2 linked regions of the Coturnix japonica genome follow. The protein of the gene in region 1 interacts with the protein of each later gene in a biochemical or structural test. Links are inferred from orthologs where the notes say so. Each region holds a gene or a part of one and is shown on either strand. Other genes may lie near its edges.

Region 1 (4,457 bases):
GCTGTGGATGGAGGCCAGGTTTAATCAGACATTATTATCAGGTGTAGACCCCAGCCCTCTCCATTAGAGATGTGTACGATGTGGCGGGATGAACAGTGAGAAATTCTTGCTTGTCTTTTTCCAGCTTTGGGATTGTGCTGTGGGAGATTGCAACCTCCAAAATCCCATTTGAAGGTGAGACAGAAGTTGTCTATGGCCCTGTGTAAAAAACTCAGCATCCCATAGCATGTGGGTCCCAGCACCTGGGTCTGCATGACATCTTCACGGCTTCTGCACATGGTTAAACCACAAGAATGCAAGAAAGGTTGTCTCTATTTGTTGTTCCCATGCAGTGAAGCATTAAGGCATCCTGTTTCGATGAGGCCTAGTGGTGTCACAGCAAAGACGGGGCAGTTTATTACAGACATAGCTTGCGTGGCCCCTCTGCTGGCTCCTCCATGGAGGAGGCTGCGGGATGGCTTTGGTGGGTTCCATATCTTCTAATGTCCGTGTTCCATTTAGGCTGCTCTCTCCAGGAGATCAGGGACAAAATCTGTGACCGGCAGTTCCAGGACCCAGTCGGGGAAGATTGTCCTGAAGAGATGGAGAAAATCATCAACCAGTGTCGGGCCTTCGATCCGTTCCAGCGCCCGTCTGCTGAGCGTGAGTGTCCTGAAGGCATTCCCCACATGTCAGACACCTCCGTGGTGAATCTGTGCCTTGTTTGCCATCGGATTTTGCCCAGTTTTGTCTCTTTGGATCCCCCCTTGTCCTGCTGACACCGCCAGGCCTCCTAAGAGCTGGTTTCCTTCTGTCTCCTCATAGAGACCATTCACACAACAGCGTTTATCCTCACCACACAGCCTGCTCTGCTCTGTTCAGGCTAACACTGACCTTACCTTCCACAGAGATCGTGGACCTGCTGGCTGACCTGGAGAAGAGGAGGTATCAGGGCATCTAGCTGCAGAGAGCCTCAGCAGGCCGCCCAGACTGGCCTCCCTGCCTTAAATATATGTTTAAATATATGTTTATTTGTTTAACTAAGACTGGAAGATCTCTGAGTAGCGGCTGCTTCGCGTCCTTCGAGGCCCGCGGGTGAGGCCTAAAGGCCTCTAGGCCCCGTTGCCACAGCAACCCCGATTTGAATCCCCTCCCGCTCCCGCTTACTTCGTCCCGGCGGCGCCTCCCCCAATCAAAACGCACTTCCTGTCTCTTGGTCCCCGCCCTTTCCGTCCCTCGAGGATCTCACCGTCCAATCAGACGGGCAGCTCTATCTCGACTGACCAATCAGAGCACGCCTCACTTCACTCTCAAGTCCGTTCAGTCTCCTCCTCCCCAGTCCGTTCTCTGGGGCAGACTGACTGAGCGCTCGGCCAATGAAAATCCCCATAGCTTTCGGCTCACCCAATAGAAGCGTCAGCAGTGGGAGCGTCGGGCCAATAGGGCTGAGGGGGCGGGGCGGCGCGCTGCTCGAGCGGCGCTGGCGGGCGGCAGCTGTGGGCCGCGGTGAGGTGGGTCCGGTCCGGTCCGGTCCGGTCCTCGTCTCTCTCTTCCCTTCTCGTGGTTCCGTTGACCGCGGCGGAGCTGCCGCCCGTACCGAGCCCTGCGGGAGCTGCCGGGACGGTGCGGGGGGAGGCCGGGGGGCGGCGGGTGCAGCGCGGAGCGGCTCCCCCGGGGCTCGGCCTGGGGCTGCCATGGAAGGCCCGGCTGGGCACAGCGCTGCGCTGTGTGGGTAGCGGCCCATGTTGGATCCCTGTGGGAGGAACCTCCTTAACCCCCCAGCACGGCTCCGCTTGCTCCGAGTCTGGCCACGTACCGATGGTTTCTTTGGGTTCTGTTGCTCCCCCCATACAGGTGCAGCAGCCGGATGGAGGTGCGGAGCTGTGCTGCTCTCGGAGTCCTGTCCGTCCGCCAGGGGAAGCTGCTGCTCCAGCGCTGCTGCTGCCCCGATCCCTCGGACCTCGAGACCTTCTGCCCGCCCCCCACACGCACGGACGGGCGGTGCCGTGCACGCGGCTCTCGGGGGAGCCGCTGACTTTTGCCCTTCCAGGAAGGCACCAAAGTGTCACGGTGAAAATGTCAACGTTAACATCTTCCCGAAGAAATACTTGGGGTTTGCTATCCGTGCTTTAGGGCTTCCAGTGTGAGGAAAATAAGGGTTTGCATGTGGCAGCCTTAACACAAACCTGAGTTCAGTGCAGCAGGACTGCCTTAACTCTATCTGTGACTGGTCAGATGGGAGATGGGGCTTGGTGTCCTTTCTGGCCTAGTTTAAGCTGAAATATTGGTTATGAGGAAATCCTCTTTTCCCAAGGAGCACTGAGGCAGTGGCACAGCTGCCAAGAGAAGGGGGGAATCGCCATCCCTGGAGCGGTGGGGTTGTGGCACTAAGGGACATGGGCATGGGGGGGGTGCAGTGGGACTTGGATGTCTGAGAAGTCTGTTCTAACTTTAGTGATTCTAATGGTAATTAAAGTAGTGTTATAAAGTGATTAGTAAGAGTTTGTTAAAAGATATATCAAAAGTTGTTAGTATAACCACCTCTTGTGGATCTTGTGTACGTTCTCTGGTTATTCTTTGTAGCAAAACACCCTTGTTTGTTCACACAGCGCCTACCTTGAGAAGTTTTGGTGCGCACTTTGGGCTCTCAAATAATGTTGAAGGTCTGCTGTCCCCAAAGCCAAAGCCTTTCAGATTTGTGATTGCCAAAACACGTGGGAGGCAAATGATCAGCAGCAGATTGCAGAACTTAATCTGCTCTCTCCTCCCCCAAATTGTTTGCTTTGATTTGTTTAGTTCATGAAATAATCTAAGCTTTTCTGTGTTGCAAGACTGCCTGCCTGCAAAGGATTGGATGCTCTACAGAGCTCATTTCTATTTGTATTTGTCACTGTTTCTGCAGTGGTTTTGCCATGGAGAATTTCTAAGATATCTTCAAACTTTCCTCCAAGATCCAAAGGCATTTACTGGAAAGTAATAGAACAAGAATTACTGAACTTTCCATGCTCATCCAAAGGTTTACCTAACAGGATTTGCAGTGTGTCTTTGGTGCCAGCTACTGCTGAGCTAAAGGCTTCAGACAAAGAACTCAGGAAGGTGCCAGCTCACATACATGTATCTACTTGAGACAGTCTCTCTGTGCTGTATGTCAAAGGCAAAATGGCAACTTGTCTCTAGTCTGAATGTTGAAGGCTTTTGAGTGCTGCAGCCAGTTTCTGCTGCCATCAGGCCACTAGTGGGGCGCAGGCTTGTGAATGCTCATAGCTTTCTTTTGTTTTTGACAGAAATGGCTCAGGAAGAGATGGAAGTTGATCTCCAACCAGTGGTGAACTACTCCCTAGAGAACCAGGGGACGCTTTCTGCAGAGCCCGCTGCTCACACGGCACTGTCCTCTCAGGTTGCAGCGCTCAGCAGCGGAGGAGGCAGCCCTATCGTTCTTTCTGACGATGAAGTTGTTGTCGTATCGACTGCTGATGCCGCAAGGGAAGCAGCTGCTGATCCTGACCAGCAGGCGAATCCTCCCTCAGCTCTCATCGGACTGCTGAGGCTGCAGGGGGCGTCTGACCAGCACCAGCTGCTGCCTGGGCCTCAGGTTGTGCTGCGTCTGCGAGTACGAAGGGCTCGCAGGCAGCCAAGAGTCGGTGGTTCCCAGAGGACAGTCAGTGCCAGGTAAAGCAGAAGTGAAGCTGTGTTTGAGCTGTGCCCTTACCAGTTCTCATACTGGTTTAAGACTGCCTCGATGCCTGGCTTGTAGAACCTGGCTTGGTCCAGGTGTGTGACTGTGGTCAAATTCCGAGCACCTCAAAAACCTCTTAAGCTCACTAATGACTCTTTGATTTCATCTGATGATGTCTTTGCTTTTTGTTAAATGAACCCGCCCTTCTCAGTTCTTCTGTTGGCAGCGTTGTTGTTGACTGGAGCACGTTACCTTGCTCTGCCAGATTCCTGTTGGTGCTTCCTGCAGCAGATCTGGCTCTCAGCAGTCCCAGCCAGCATTTAGCTCAGTGGAGCTTGCACTCTCTTCTGCGTTTCACCTTTGATTTGAGGACTGCCTAATTAGGTGACAGTTGCTGCAGAAACTTTTGTAAAGAAATGCAAACTGACATTTATCATCTTTTTTCCTCTGTAGATTTTTGTAATCTCCAAGCAAAGTGAAAATTCTGTGTTTAGGGCTGTTAGGGATGAGTTTAAAAGGTGATAAGTGGGCACGCTCCCCAACTAGAAAAAGAATCCTATTTCTGGTTTGTTTGGTTTCTGTCTCATCTTTTGCAAATGCCAGGGGTGAAGTTATAATTAACTGGAGTGCTGGCTTGAAATTCAGTGAGACCGAGATCTCTTCTCCTCCTCGATGATTGCACGTTGCTGTACTGCTTGCCTGTAGATTGCTTGTGAAGGTCACTGTAGTTCTCCAGGCTAGAAGCAGCCTAGCAAAAACTGCTTGGAATGTGAAGGATAATTGAGATGATAGCTGGGTTGAT
Region 2 (4,371 bases), on another chromosome or scaffold:
GTTTGCGATGATGTGCAGAACCTTCTCTTCTCCGAGCTGCTCATCAGGGACATGAGGAGTATCATCCCTGGAACAGCAGATAGAACATAGACGTTACTTGTGACTATCAAGGCACGTGGGCAGAGCAAGGCACTGAACGTGCACCTGAGCCTTGTTTTCTTCCTTATCTCATAGGAGATAAAGTCAAGGTCTTTGGGGTAGGAACTTGCACTGTGCACATGGGCTGAAGCAGAGAAGCAGGAGGAAATGGCTCCAAGTGGAAAGCTGCTCCGTTTGGTTCTACTTTATATGTGGGCACTAGAAGCAGGTTTATCCCATTTCAGCACATTTATCCCATTCCAACGTGTTTAATAGATGCTACAGCTGAGTGGGGCATCACGCAAGAGAATATAATGCAACCTGGGGTCAGAACTGGATAACAGCAGGGAAGCAAAAGCTGCCTGCGTTCAATAGAATGAAACAGAATTGAAAAGGAACCCAATGAATGCTCCAAGTAAGGTGAGGATTTAACATGGCTACAGCCCATGGCAATAGACAGGAGGCATTTAACAGCTAAAGCCCACGGCAATAGATAGGGGGCATTTAACACAGCTAAAGCTGAGTCTATGGTAATAGACAGGAGGCATTTGACACAGCTACAGCCCATAGCAATAGATAGGGGGCATTTAATACAGCTAAAGCTGAGTCCATGGTAATAGATAGGAGGCATTTAATGCAGCTAAAGCCTATGGCAATGGATAGGGGGCATTTAACACAGCTAAAGCCCACAGCAATAGATAGAAGGCATTTAACACAGCTACAGCCCATAGTAATAGATAGGGGGCATTTAACACAGCTAAAGCTGAGTCCATGTAACAGACAGGAGGCATTTAATACATCTAAAGCCCACGGCAATGGATAGGGGGCATTTAACACAGCTACAGCCCATAGCAATAGATAGGGGCCATCACTTTGGGACTCAGCCCGCAGGGACTCAATACAATCGGTGCTGTTTCCTCACCCCGTCCATAGCACAAAGTCCGGCCGTGCCCGCAGCCGTTTCATGGCGCTCACAGCGGAGCTGAGCAGCGCCCAGGGCGCATCACATTCGTAGCTGCCCCACGGTCCCCCCGGTCCGGATCCCCCCGACGGGCAGCGCTGCCCGGCCGACAGCGCCTCCTCGTAACCGGGATCCCAGTGTAGGTCCGTCAGGTGCCAGAATGTCCCCGCCATCACCGCCGGCTGCAGCAGCACCAGCAGCGCGGCCGCCCGCACCGTCACCGCCTCCATCATTGAACCTTCACCTGCACGGCCCGCCCCGTCGGGGCACAGAGCCGGGCAGCGCCAGCAACCAACATGGCGGCGTCGGCATCAGCACCGCCGGAAGAAGGAGGGATGTGATTGGATCTTAGCGCTGGAAGAAAGAGAGAGGTGATTGGATCTCGCTATCGGAAGCTGGCGGAAGACGGAGGGCTGTGATTGGCTCCTGGTAGCGGGGCGCGGGACGCGGTGCTGGAGGAGCGGGTGGCTCCGCAGTCGGTGCTGAGGCGCCATGTGGGGCGGACACGGTGCGGGACGGGCGGGTGTGGGGGGATGTGGGGTGTGGGGTGTGAGATGGGTCTGCGCAGCTCACGGCTCCGATCATCCCTTCACAGGTAACTTCGATGGCGGTTACGGCCCCGCGGGGGGATACACGCAGTCACCGGGAGGATTCAGTTCACCAGCGGGCGGGCAGGCCGAGAAGAAGCAGGTAGGGCTGGGCTATGGGGCTGGGCTATGGGGCTGGTTATGGGGCTGGGCTATGGGGCTGGGCTATGGGGCTGTGGGGCTGGGTTGTGGGGCTGTGGGGCCGGGCTGTGGGGCTGTGGGGGCCGGGCTGTGGGGCCCGGGCTGTGGGGCTGTGGGGCCCATCACGTCCCCCTTCACCCCCCCCCACAGCGCAGCCGCTCGCAGAGCATCGTGCCCTGCACCGTGTCGCAGCTGCTGGCAGCCGAGCAGGTGGACGAGGCGTTCCGTATCCATGACGTGGAGATCTCGCAGGTGGGCACCCCCTATAGTCCCACACCCCCGTATAGTCCCACACCCCCTATAACCCCACACCCCTCTCCCATTAAGCTGGTTCTGATGGGCCGCTGGTGTCTCACCCCGCCCCCTGACCGCCCTCCCCCCGCAGGTCACCGTGGTGGGCATCGTTCGACACGCAGAGAAGGCGCCCACCAACATCCTGTACAAGGTGGATGACATGACAGCGGCACCCATGGACGTGAGGCAGTGGGTTGACACCGATGTAAGCAATGGAACCGTCCTGAGGTGCTGCTATGGGGGTAAAACAGTGTGTGAGCTGCATCAATGGATGTCCCTGTTAGAGCCAGGCTGGGTGCTGCGGTAACAGTGATCAGTTGGCAGTGAATGTGGCTGGAGATGAACAGCTGCACTGAGCTGAACAACTGGAAGTAATTAAAGAGATTCTCAGTTGGTTTATCTACAGGTTTGCCATAAGATCCTGTGACTGCTCCCAGAATGCACAGCTGGCACTGATTGCTGTCAAGCCGACAGTGCATCCAAATAAGGATTTCCCATCTGTAGCTACATTTACCTGACTGCTTGTACTGATTGAATGGGTGTCGTTTGTGTTTGATTGAGATAGCAGTCCTAAAGTTGTTTAGTATGATAACTGAGAGATGGATCAGCAGCTCTTTGCTTTCTCCTTTCTCTGTAAGGAGGCAGGTAGTGAGAATATCGTGGTGCCCCCAGGAACTTACGTCAAAGTTGCTGGTCATCTTCGGTCTTTTCAGGTAAGGTCATGTGCGACTCCACAACAAACAAGGCTGGGGCAGCAGCATAAAGGGTTGGTGATGTGGCAGAGCAGGAACAATAATCACAGCATGTTATATAGGAGTCAACTCATAGCAGTCATCCTTGAGATCATGCTGTATGTGTTAAAGCAAAGAGCAATTGCCAGCTGGATCAAAACTTGCCCAGACATGGGCATTTAAGTTGAAAACCTTTGCTAACTAAAGGCAGATGGACTCCCCACCCGCTGCTGCTCCTGTTCCTAACTAGAGTGCTTAAGTTCTATGGCAACCATGTTCCTGTTGCTCCCCTGTTAATGGTATTTGCTGTCTTTTCTCTGGAAGAACAAGAAGAGTTTGGTGGCGTTTAAGATCATGCCTCTGGAAAACATGAACGAGGTCACCACGCACATACTTGAGACTGTTAATGCGCATATGATCCTCAGGAAGAACCTTATGGTGTGTAGTTGAAGGTCATGGTTCCATTACAGCTGTTACTGGTGATCTAAAGGGAGGGACCTCTGGGTTCAGTGGGAAACTGTGCAAGTTGTGGGTCTGGAAAGGCTGAAGGGCTGCAATGGGGTGTGATGAGAGTCTTGATTTCCATTGAGAGACATTCTCATTGCGGCCAGTTTTACTTGGTTTCTGTTGGAAATCTATCTTTAATTATTATGCCTCTGAAAGAAGGCTAAGTCCTTCATGTCCTTCATGCCTTGGGTTTGCAGCAGCCTGTGCACAACAGTTCTTTTATTCAATTACTCTTGTAATTGCAGTCAGCATCAAGAGCACCTCAGTCGTTTACCTCTGTTGGAATGAGTGACGTGGGGGCCTATGGTGGAGGCAGCCTGCCTGTCAATGGACTCACAGCACATCAGAGTCAGGTGGGTGCCAGCACCTTCTCCAGAGCACAGCTGACACAGTGGGTGCTGCTGCTTTGTGTTGTAGGACCAAGAAATAAAAGCTCAGTTATTCTTGGAAGGCTGATAATCCTTTTTTGGCCCCGCTGTTCAGTGCTGATAGAGCTGAGCTGTGTGCTGATGATGGTTCACGTTCTTCCAGGTGCTGAACCTGATTAAAAACTGCCATTCTCCAGACGGGATGAGTCTCCAAGAGCTGAAACTTCAGCTCCACAATGTCAGCATACCAACAATCAAGTAAGTGTGTAGAAGCTGATGTTTTTGGGGGCGTCAGGTCCCACGTAGGTGGGAAATGGTTGAGAGGAAGGCATTGATGTGAGCCAGGTACTAATGGACTTCTTTCCTTCCAAGGCAAGCAGTTGAATTCCTTAGCAGCGAGGGACACATCTACTCTACTGTGGATGATGATCACTATAAGTCTACGGATGCTGACTGAAGCTCTTTCCACCTGGATTTGCTCCCAGCCAAGTGCTTCTCGGTGTCTCGAATTAACCTGCTGAGCTTTGCAACTTGGAAGGTGATGTTTGCTTTCTAACATGTGCAAGTCCCACTTATTCAGTGATTCCCCACACCCCGAAATTCAAGGACAATGTAGCCAAGAGAAACGTTCTGTTAATGTACAGTAATCATGACTGGATTTATAATTAGTTTGTGCACTTAAATCTATATTTGTACTACGAGGT

Evidence for each region.
Region 2: the proteins of RFWD3 (region 1) and RPA2 form a complex in vitro, tested with the Homo sapiens proteins (3 studies listed by BioGRID, with this or other methods). The link is inferred for Coturnix japonica from reciprocal best matches to the Homo sapiens genes RFWD3 and RPA2.

Annotation. Positions count from the first base shown.
Region 1 is NC_029526.1:770,992-775,448, forward strand, and holds the start of RFWD3 (E3 ubiquitin-protein ligase RFWD3), read left to right. Parts: upstream 1-1,435; 5' UTR 1,436-1,490; intron 1,491-1,833; 5' UTR 1,834-2,055; coding exon 2,056-2,092; intron 2,093-3,263; coding exon 3,264-3,648; intron 3,649-4,457. Other genes in the region: MLKL (mixed lineage kinase domain-like protein), read left to right, coding at 125-174, 502-758. UniProt on the Homo sapiens protein: E3 ubiquitin-protein ligase required for the repair of DNA interstrand cross-links (ICL) in response to DNA damage. Plays a key role in RPA-mediated DNA damage signaling and repair.
Region 2 is NC_029538.1:1,359,189-1,363,559, reverse strand, and holds the start of RPA2 (replication protein A 32 kDa subunit), read left to right. Parts: upstream 1-1,419; 5' UTR 1,420-1,531; coding exon 1,532-1,547; intron 1,548-1,634; coding exon 1,635-1,729; intron 1,730-1,917; coding exon 1,918-2,019; intron 2,020-2,152; coding exon 2,153-2,266; intron 2,267-2,699; coding exon 2,700-2,774; intron 2,775-3,116; coding exon 3,117-3,230; intron 3,231-3,544; coding exon 3,545-3,652; intron 3,653-3,830; coding exon 3,831-3,925; intron 3,926-4,039; coding exon 4,040-4,124; 3' UTR 4,125-4,371. Other genes in the region: SMPDL3B (acid sphingomyelinase-like phosphodiesterase 3b), read right to left, coding at 1-67, 1,001-1,272. UniProt on the Homo sapiens protein: As part of the heterotrimeric replication protein A complex (RPA/RP-A), binds and stabilizes single-stranded DNA intermediates that form during DNA replication or upon DNA stress.